Linked DNA regions of Bombyx mori. The main gene of each other region encodes a partner of the protein of the gene in region 2 in a complex. Links are inferred from orthologs where the notes say so. Each region holds a gene or a part of one and is shown on either strand. Other genes may lie near its edges.

Region 1 (5,217 bases), on a different chromosome or scaffold from region 2:
TTTGAAACGTGATAAGAAACAGTCACATTGCTCCTGTGCATTAACTATTACCATAAGCAATGAAATTTACCTTACGATCAGGTAGACTGTGAGTACCTTCAAATAAGTCAATAAGATGTAAAAAGCCCAACTCATTTCTGCATACTTATGCTTCTGTTTGGATTAAGGGAAGGCCATTATGCAACCTACATTTACCATTTAACAGCAAGTAGACCGTAAGATCGTTCACCCTTACATACAGAAAAAAAACATCAGCCAACCAATTACATATTTTCATTATTAAACTTTATTTGAGAATCACATGTTCATTGATTTAAAAATCCAATGATGTATCTGCAACAAAAATAATAATTATAAAGAGTTCTTTAGACAAGTTCCATTTAAACACATTTAACATTTACTCTGGTTATTATTTCAGTTTAGACATTAACAACCTTTCGCTCCGAAACAAAGGTATTGAGCGAAAGGTATTGAGAAAAATACTAGGACCAGTTCGGAAAGAAGACGGTTCTTGGCACGTCCGGAAAAATAAGGATGTGGAGAGGCTTTTTGGTGAGCGAAATATTCTGGGGGAGATGAAGGCACGGAGGCTCGGATGGTTCGGACATGTAGTACGTATGGAGCAGGATCGGGCTGTGAAACGGGTGTACCGGAGGGACGCCGCCCCGTAGGGAGGCCCAAGTACCGCTGGTGTGACAGCGCCAGTGGTGATAGCGCCAGCTCAGTAGTAGTAGTAGACATAAACAAGATAACAAAAACTAAAATAGTCTTACTGGCATCACTGCGTTTTCTCATAGCTTCAGTTTTCTCCAAAGCGAATACAAGTTCTTGGAAAATTTTAACAGCCGCTTTCATATTAGTTTCATGTTGGTTATTTTCGGCGACACTATCATCTAATAAACTGTATATTGTTGGTATTTCATCGATCTTCAAATTCTTTGCATTTGCTGACTTGAAAACAACAGACACTTTTCCAGTTTTCGGATGTATACTGAATGGAGACTTGAGCAAGTGATTGAAACCTTTTGTCACATTAACATCTAATCTGGGGTAGCAATATTGAATTTTTATTTCTTCTATAAGATATTTTATTTTTCGTATAACATTTCCATTCTACAAATTGAAAAACATGACAAAATAGAGTCATACATATATATGCATATTTTTTAGGACACAACTTCTAATATGTAGGTTAATCTTGAACTGTATCCTTGGAAAAAAATTTAAGCAGTTTAAAAAACAAATGCCAACGACTTTTCAATGAATTTCTAATTTTTAATGAAGTACCAAATTTTTCTTTATGTCAAAATTTTATTATTTTTTTACCTCTCTGCAATAATTTTCATAAATATTTATAAAAGTGTTCCACTTATTCAATGATGGTTCCTGCATTTTTTTCAAAGTTGTTTCAACCTGTGATTTTAACGCATCATCTGGTATCAACTTCAAAAATGAGTTTAGCTTATCTGTTGCTAAAAATTCCTGATCTTGTAATAATTGTTCAAAGTATTTGTCTATTATATTTAAGGCACGCCTGGAACAAGTATTTAAATATACTATTTTTAATTTATTTATTACTTACACTTCATGTATTTTATATATTAGTAAACTTAATGCCTAACTCATTCTCCTTACGAAAATGAATATCAGATCGAACATGAAACGTGTAAATATACAAGGGAATGCGTAACTTCCTCAAGGGAGTGTTATATAAGTTATGTGTAGTATAAAATTATAAAGTGTAAAAGTTTATTAGTGAAAATGATAAGGACAGCGGTATTAAAATTATAAGTTTGGGGGTGATGTCTTACTGTATACACTTGTAAAGTATATAAAGGTATGTATATAAAAGGGACTTTGTGTCAAATCTAGTCCTGATCTTGATATGTGACATTATATCAAGGTAACATTCTAAGCATTCTAAATTCTGATTAGCATGACCAATGTAAATTATTTTCACATGTAACCAATAATAATACAGTGTTACATCATAATCACTTTTCCCTTAGCCTTAGTAATGATTTTTACTGGTCAAAACTCTGGTAATGTGCTCCAGCAGCTTATGAAAGAAAATAATAGTATTTTCTTATTAATCTTCTTTGGATGGGTAGATCGACTCATAAAAGTAATTTTTAATTTTGCGAGAAGTAATTAACAAAATTATTATCAACAAAATTATGATCATCTATCATTTTCAAAAAATATTTATGTAAATCTCATGTAAGAATATCAAATTAAAAAAAAATGATATAACCTTATACTGGAATGTAAGTTTTCATTGCCAAGATGCACTTTTTTACTTTGGTTTTCACCACCTACGATTAAACAAAGGTAATCGGCAATAGCTCCTCGACCTGGACTATCGAGAGTTCTGGCTTCATAATCTGATACCCAACAGTGAATACCACGCCGACCTGAAAATACCCACAGGATGCTTTGGAACCCGAAGTCATCTGAAATTAGTAAGTCAAGGATGTGAATTTGAATTCAATCAATCATTTTGTCAATTATAAGAATCATGAATCACTTGTATCATGAAAATAATACTATAGATGTGGATAATTGAAGTCAAAATCCATTCACTAGTGGAAATATATAAGTAACTAACTACTACAGTGTAAATATGTTTTGGTTTTCTTTTTTTTTTCTATTGGCCCACAAACATCCTCTGCTGGACATATGGTTTTGTAGTTTTTTTTCGCCACCCCAAGTATGCATGAGATAGGTTACATTTTAATGAGTGTGGTGTGGTAAATAAATATAGAAATATAGAAGAATCTTTAATGGTCTGTAGCTCAGTAAAGTAAATCATGTATTTACCTTTTAAAGCTTTATCAATGATTTCACATGCAATAACCATAAATTTCCAGCATTTTTCACACACTCTAGCTTCTTGACAACATGTTCTTATTTCATCATAGTCTGTTAAATCTATATCGAATACTAGTTCTCGCGATATCACTACAGCGTCATGTCTTCCTACAGAAGGCCTTAAATAACGGAAGAATACCAAGTGACAATAAAAGAGTGTAATATTGCTTTTTAAATGCTAATAAATGAAATTTACTTTATTAAATATTCAAGCATGATATTTTAACTTCATACAAACTTTTAGACATAAAACATACTTTGTGTTGTAAACTGCTCCAACATCCAATTTGTGTGGACATTTCTTTTGAAGAAGGGTTTGTAAATCCTTTTGATGCGAAATCGACAAATAACGGAGGTAGACATCGTCAGCTAAAGTAAATGATAATTCTCTGTTACAGAGCGGTTGAGGCGAACTACCGCATGCTAGCCATCTACAGAATATATTTTGCGGAAATTGCCTGGCATAGTAAGTGGGTAGCATATCAGATAGAATGTTTTCATTGTGTTCGCCAATCTGTACAATTAAATTGATATTAATCAGAAGTTTAGTTTTTTATTTAGATCAGTTTGAATTTGAACTTACCATTTTTACCAAAACAACAACTCCTATAATGACATTTTTTTTAGGGATTTCATGACCTGATAACTAATACCTTTAAGTCATGTCTTATTTTAATTTATATTCTTATTTTTATGAAAAATGATAACCAATATGGAGTGAAATGAAATGAAATGAAGATGATTAATTTGAGACATTAATCAACTGGGATGAAATTAAATGAAATGAGATGAGATGATATCTCTCTATCTATAATCTCAGTCATTTTACTGAGATTATATTTCATTCCATACCATCTCATCTCATTTCATTTAATTTCATCCCAGTTGATTAATGTCTCAAATTAATCATCTTCATTTCATTTCACTCCTTAATATCATTTTTCATAAACATAAGAATATAAATTAAAATAAGACATGACTTAAAAGTCTTAGTTACCAAGTCATTAAATCCTTTAATAAAAACTAATTAGGAATCCGAGACCGAAAATTTGTAGAATCGATTAAATGAGTCGTCTATTAACAAAGGCGGCAATCTGTACATTTGGACAAAAAATTTTTATTGATATGTCAATACAGATTTATTTGAATATAATCGTCTCTTTCAAAGAATACGGTTCAAAACCTGCATTAAATAAAGGTTAATAGTTAACCTGTTATTTATCTAAGATGTCGTTCCGAAGAGTTTTGTGACTGCCAATGGAATACAAAGTCAATAATTCGTTTTTCTGATTTACCAATCATTGTCCAAAAGTCAGATTGCCGCCTTTGATAATAGTCGACTCAAATGTAAAAAAAATTTTTTAACCTACCCGTAAACATTTTTCAACTACCTACCCTAAATTTTATTCAGCTTTGTGTGTGAATTGAATCTTGATTTAGTTATTGATGTCAAAACTGCTGAAATTCTGACTACTAAAACAATATGGAAATTAATAAAGACACCGCTTTTTTAATAGTAGTAAAAATGTCATTTCGTAAGTAGGAACATTAAAAAATAACCGTAAACCCTAATTTAATAAGTAATGGATCTTTTAAAATACTTTTCACATGTGTTTGTGGTTTAAACCACCAACAGTATTTACTTTAATTTACGAAAATAATTATTCGTCTATATTTTCAGGTTCACTGCACAATTCGTATTGCAAGACTTCGGAAAAATTTCTTAATGCATCAAAGGTATTGATCGAATCGTTGCTAAGAAAGCCATTGGCAATGACTTTAATAGCAGCCTGGTTATTAAATTTACTGCTTATATCTACGTTTTTTTCTGTAACTGTTATTTTGATGACCTCAACTATATTTCTAGTAATTGTATTTTTAGAAGGTAAGTTACTATACTACTAATATTAGATACTGAATATTAAAGAATTAAAAAAAAAAATATTAAAATTTCAGACAAGGCTGTAATACTATTTAGAAAACTCTATAGCCTGCCTTAGAAAGATAGCCACATCATAAATATCACACATTGTCTCAAGACGAAAGTCATTGACCGGTGTGTGACATATTGCATTATGTCGTAATCGCTCTCAATGGACATTATCAGAAAGCTCAATGTCACCCAAAGAGCAGTGGCGATGGTGATGCTCGGAGTTTTCCGACAACATTATATCAGGAATGAGGGGAAACAAGGTGGACTGACAACTTTGAGATTCGCTGGAATCCACTGGATGTAGGTAGCACAAAACTGGTCGTTGTGGCGAGGTTTGGGAAGGCCTATGTCCAGCAGTGGACGTTTGTAACCTGAAAAATATTCAGCGGCTTATTAACGGGGTACAATATCCG
Region 2 (5,353 bases):
GATCAATTCTTAAGAAAAAATCTCTCATAAGTTAGACAAACCTAAATGTATTACCAGTATACTTGTTTATTTACAGTTAAAAATTCTCAGAACTTAATATAAAAACAACTTACAATCTCCTGATGAGCTCTGGTGGGTATCTGTTCCTAGGATCCCTCATTTCTCCAGGAATCCTGTGGTTTCTGGCTTCCAACATAATTCTGTGCTCAATGTATACATCCAAGGAATCCTTTGCTACTACCTGATATTGTTATATAATTTGTTTTTTTAATTTTGAGTTATATTATACTGTGATATAACATTCAAACACTAATAGCTCAGGAAAGACTACAATAGCAGAACCGTTTTTTGTGTTGCAATGTCCAGTGGTTAGAATAATTAAGCATTAGCTTTAACGAAACAAACATTGCATGTGAAAACAATTTTATATAAAATTTTATTTGATAATTCATTTTATTTATATTTGTGTAACACAACTGTAATGTGCAACACACGTAATGAAAAATATTCTATTCATTTTATACAATGAATGAAATTATAAGGTCACATACATTATGTACATTTACGCAGCAATTTGCACATAAATGCTTTCTGTTATTGTTAGTATAATTGCTTTTTCCCATTTTTGCTACAATCTTTAAGCTTTGCATAATTATATCAATGCTTACCTCTTTGAATTTGTAATCAGGCAGCATTTCATAAACCACGTCTGACACCATATTAGTGTATCTTCTGGTATTTTGTTTGACTGCCTCAGTCAAATCTTCATTCATCTCATGTAAATCATCCAAGTCAACTTCAAATGCTATCTATAATAAAAAATTAGTTTTTGTTATTAACGTCTTCTTGCTTCCTGTGTGCCCTAAGCAGGCAGTCATGATGTGTATTGAGGTTTAGTTTAGTTTGATTTCAGTTACATAAAAATTTCGGTAATTTAAAGTATAATTCATACAACAAGCTATAATTTTTTTTAATCCTAACTTTCTGTTATCCTAATAACTGTATACACATAAATAAACTAATCTTCATTATCTGCTAATAATCATTATCTTGATCCTGCGATAGTTTACAATAAGATAACAATTATACCTTATAGTAAAACTGGAAAAATTGTCCCAGCAATAAAATAAGTGAAATTATATTATTATATCATTCAAAGAACTAGAAACTACAACTACCCTAACCTCAACATAGCATTGTATTTTTATTATTATTATGAACCGAACAATCTTACCTGTTCTCTGTGTGCAACTTTAGTAAGTTGTTCAGCATATTTAAAATACTTTTTTCCTTCATCATCAGTTTGACAAAAATCAACGAAAAAGTTCTTGAAAGATTCTGTAAAGGTTTATTGAAATTATTTAATCGTTCATAATTTTGGTAATATGCTCGATCTTCTTCAAGTACCTTTATCTGCAGTGTAATCACGCATTGCCATTATGTTAGAAATATGTTATTCGAATAATTGCTGTCTTCAAATACTAATCACAAATGTATCACCAGCACCGATCACAAGCATCACAACAAATGTTTTTTGACAGTTACAAATTGGCGCGAAATTTGTGAAACTAAGAAGATTTTTATTTCTAAATGGATAGGTAAAGGGAACAACTCGCATATTAAAAGTCTTCTAAAAAAGGGCAAAAACGAAATCTACGACATGCAAATTTCACACCATATACCTTATCCTTTAGTAGAACATGAAGACTTTAATTAATTAATTTAGAAAAGAGATTCGACTGTATAGTATGATATCCTCGCCCTTTCTGTTGCAAAACGGAATACAAATATCAAATGTCAATCACAGCTGAAGGCTTTCAAAGTGGATACGCGCCAAAATATCTAAAAAGAATTTAACCTAATCAAAATATTAGTGTTTCTTGTAAATGTAAATTGTTTTAAACTTATATATGTGTACAAAAGAAAAGCTATTAAAAGAGAATGGCCGATTCAATAGGTACTGCAATACTTAAGTCTGTATCTAGGATGCATTTAGTTTCGAAACTCCTTGAACATTTAACAAAATGTATTTACTGTTTGTAGCTGCTCAGCGTGCGAAGCGACAAAAAACAGACCGACACGGTCGATTCTCGGCGTTTGAGAAGCTAAAACAATTAAAAGGGAAAGGTGTAAAGCATAAGTACGATGTGGATGTGCTTGAGAATGTGTACGACACTGTTGACGAGAAAGAATACACAGAAAGAGTTCTACAGCGACAAGAAGACGATTGGATAGAAGATGGTAAATCCATATTACAAATCAGTACATAATTTTTAGTTTCAACTAATAATATTAACTAGACTTTTCAAAAAAGTTTCACATATAAATTTTCAAAATCCTTATTTATTAAATGTTTAAAGTGACTACAAACCGAATTGAAATTTTCAAGTGAGAAAACATCCATTCTGTAAATTAAATGTGCATTAGTGACACAGTAATGTTTGTTTTCAATACTGGCTATACTTAACGAGTGAAAAATATGTATTAGAAGATTCAACTAATGTAACAAACTTTTTAGATGGTACTGGCTATGTTGAAGATGGAAGGGAGATATTTGATGATGATGATGATGCTTATGAAGCAACAAATAGTAAAGATACAGGCAGAGGACAGAAAAGGAAGGCCAAAGTTGCAGCACAGTCCTCAGGAAAAGGGAATATACGAAACTTAATTGGTAACATGCCTAGTAAGAAAAAAGAGGTTTGTTATATTTCATTTATTTAATTTATATTTAAGAATGCAATCCATTGATATCTATGATTATAATGTTTTAGATAGGATATTTTAAGTACTAATTAGTTCTTATGTATCGGGGACATCCTTCTGATAATTTTAGGAAAAATATAAAAACTATAGTCTTCTATAGAGTTACAGACTATGACAAATATAATTATAGTCTAGATTCCAAGAGAAAAGTGCAAAAACTTAATAATTTTTTGCATAATATAGATCCAACCTTATATTTCTGAAATAAAGATTAATAAAAAAAAATATTTTTATAACCTGTAATCCTAGTAAAAACAGGGTTAATTTAATTTGGTACTTGAGCAACTTTGACTACTTCTCTAAACTAAATTCCCTGTTTAATTGCACATATTATCAAATAATTGGCAACTTGGTAATGTTTGAATCCTAACTTAATTTTTTATTAGTAATTTAATATGTTGTTTTTCTTTCTTTCAGGATGTAAAGATTTCAGAAGATAATATTTTATCTGATATTATATCTGATTTGGATGCTAACACTGCATCAAATGTAGTAAAATCTACACTGCCTATAACTAAAACTAACATTGTGGATACAAGTAAGAGAGATGCACAAAACTACTTCAAAAGTCTTTCTGCTAACGTCAAGAAACCTTCTGTACTAAAAACATTCAAGGAAGAAAAGGAGGCATGTATCATTTTTTCATTTGTATCGAGTTATTAACTGTTAGTCTAAGGGGCTATTCCAAATACTTGGAGAATTTGCCAACACTAGCCTTAGCGCGAGCAGTTCTTGGCAGAATTCACCACTAGATCAGAATCACGACCTATTGAGAAGATCTAGCAAGAAACTCAGCCAGCTGTGTCACTGGTTAATTCGGTTGTCGTTATCGACGAGTTCGACTAGGTCCGGTGCTTGAAGAGCAAAAAATGTCAAAGATATGTAAAAAGTATGTAATTAGCAGTGACCAGAATAAGAGAATTATCATATCCCGCCGCTTTGTCGAAATAGCGTTTTGACGATACCTAAATTAGTTACGTATTGGTTCTAAATTTAAGTCTTCTGTGCTTTTCCTGTAACCTGATTGGATAATTATTTATAAAAGTATAAATGTTGTAGTAGCTGATACTGAATAGTAATTTATTCATGTAACACAATTTGAAAAGTAAACTTCGCATTAAAAGGTCGTCGAAAATATATAACGAAATGTATTTATGCAGAATGTACCCATTGAAAATCGTTCTCTCTACACAAAACAGATGTTACATTACTAAAATAATTTGCAACAGCAAGCTAAAACTTGTTATTATTTCAGACTGAAAGTATTGAGCCAGACACATCTGCAGTACAGTGTGAAAAAAATATGGTAAATATGGTAAAGTTAAATATTTTTTAATTGTATTTTAAATATCCTTGATATTATTGATGATGACAGATTACCTACCTAATGATTAGTGGTTTCTGCCCCTTGTAGACATCAGCAATACCAGAGCTACACATAGCCAATCTCCTGTGGACACTTTTCGAACCTTGTTTAAAATAGAACATCATAGCAATCCGGTTAGCATGGAGGGTGAGAGAGAGCCAGATGATATCCAGTGCTATAGAAGAAACAACTCCTTAGTAATTCCATAAAACCTTCGATAATAACATGGAGACAACAATCATTCTATTAACTCTATTCTATAATTTATTACATGTAAAGTTTGTTTTTGTTTAAATAAAGTGTAACAGCCACAGCCTACAAATATTAACAAATATATTATTTTAACCTCACAGATAAATCATGTGGTAAATGAACCTGCAAATAAGAAAATCAAGAAACCAGAATGGAACATTGAAAAAGAAATCAAGCAAGAACTTAATGAAACGCTTACTCCTAATATAGAAGAATTTGAAACACAAGATATTGACTTTGACGATGACTTCAGCAATGATGCAAAAACGTCCCAAGTGAAAAACGAGCCTGTCAGCACCGGAACTATCACCGAAAATCCTACAACAGACATCACTGATGAATTTTTCAATGACGAATTTGAAATATTCCCTTTACCAAAGAAAGAAACTACGAAAGAACTGAAACCATTGACTAGTACATGGCCAGAACAAGGAGGTGACAACCAAACTGTGTCTTCAGTTCAAAGTGATGGTCAATTACCACTGCAAACCAATGAAACAGGGGAGAAAGTGCTTAGATTTTACTGGCTTGATGCATGGGAAGATCGGTTTGTAAAACCAGGCGTTATATACCTATTTGGAAAAGTTTATGTTGACCCATCAAAAAAGAAGGCTGGATGTGTATCATGCTGCCTTGTTGTGAAGAATGTTAATAGGCAGATATTCCTGTTGCCAAGAGAATATGTAAGTTTTTTATTGCTATAAATATGTGTGACTCGTAGTGCTTCCCACTTTGCAATATGAGATTGATATCTCAATTAATTTAAATTACTGCCTTACCCTTCACACTAGAATGCAAAACTGCTTCACGGTAGAGACAGACTGTAATGTCTACACTAACAGGCTTACAATTTAAACCAAGATGGCCCTTTGTCATAGAAGGGTAGCTCACATAGTAAAAAACCTCTAATTTTTAACATGCTAACTGTTGCTGAATACTGTAATTTAAGTACGAAATTTCATGTCTCCC

Evidence for each region.
Region 1: DNA polymerase alpha catalytic subunit (region 2) and DNA primase small subunit share a complex: the UniProt entries of both Drosophila melanogaster proteins name them as parts of the alpha DNA polymerase complex. The link is inferred for Bombyx mori from reciprocal best matches to the Drosophila melanogaster genes PolA1 and Prim1.

The regions. Positions count from the first base shown.
Region 1 is NC_085116.1:10,063,484-10,068,700, reverse strand, and holds DNA primase small subunit, read right to left. Parts: upstream 3,612-5,217; 5' UTR 3,458-3,611; coding exon 3,455-3,457; intron 3,387-3,454; exon of another isoform or gene 3,386-3,386; coding exon 3,129-3,385; intron 2,991-3,128; coding exon 2,821-2,990; intron 2,454-2,820; coding exon 2,255-2,453; intron 1,535-2,254; coding exon 1,327-1,534; intron 1,114-1,326; coding exon 427-1,113; 3' UTR 334-426; coding exon of another isoform or gene 314-333; 3' UTR 264-313; downstream 1-263. Other genes in the region: uncharacterized protein LOC101739672, read left to right, coding at 4,355-4,406, 4,553-4,756. UniProt on the Drosophila melanogaster protein: Catalytic subunit of the DNA primase complex and component of the DNA polymerase alpha complex (also known as the alpha DNA polymerase-primase complex) which play an essential role in the initiation of DNA synthesis.
Region 2 is NC_085121.1:13,176,514-13,181,866, forward strand, and holds the start of DNA polymerase alpha catalytic subunit, read left to right. Parts: upstream 1-1,763; 5' UTR 1,764-1,941; coding exon 1,942-1,957; intron 1,958-2,043; coding exon 2,044-2,241; intron 2,242-2,518; coding exon 2,519-2,700; intron 2,701-3,183; coding exon 3,184-3,393; intron 3,394-4,021; coding exon 4,022-4,081; intron 4,082-4,485; coding exon 4,486-5,067; intron 5,068-5,353. UniProt on the Drosophila melanogaster protein: Catalytic subunit of the DNA polymerase alpha complex (also known as the alpha DNA polymerase-primase complex) which plays an essential role in the initiation of DNA synthesis.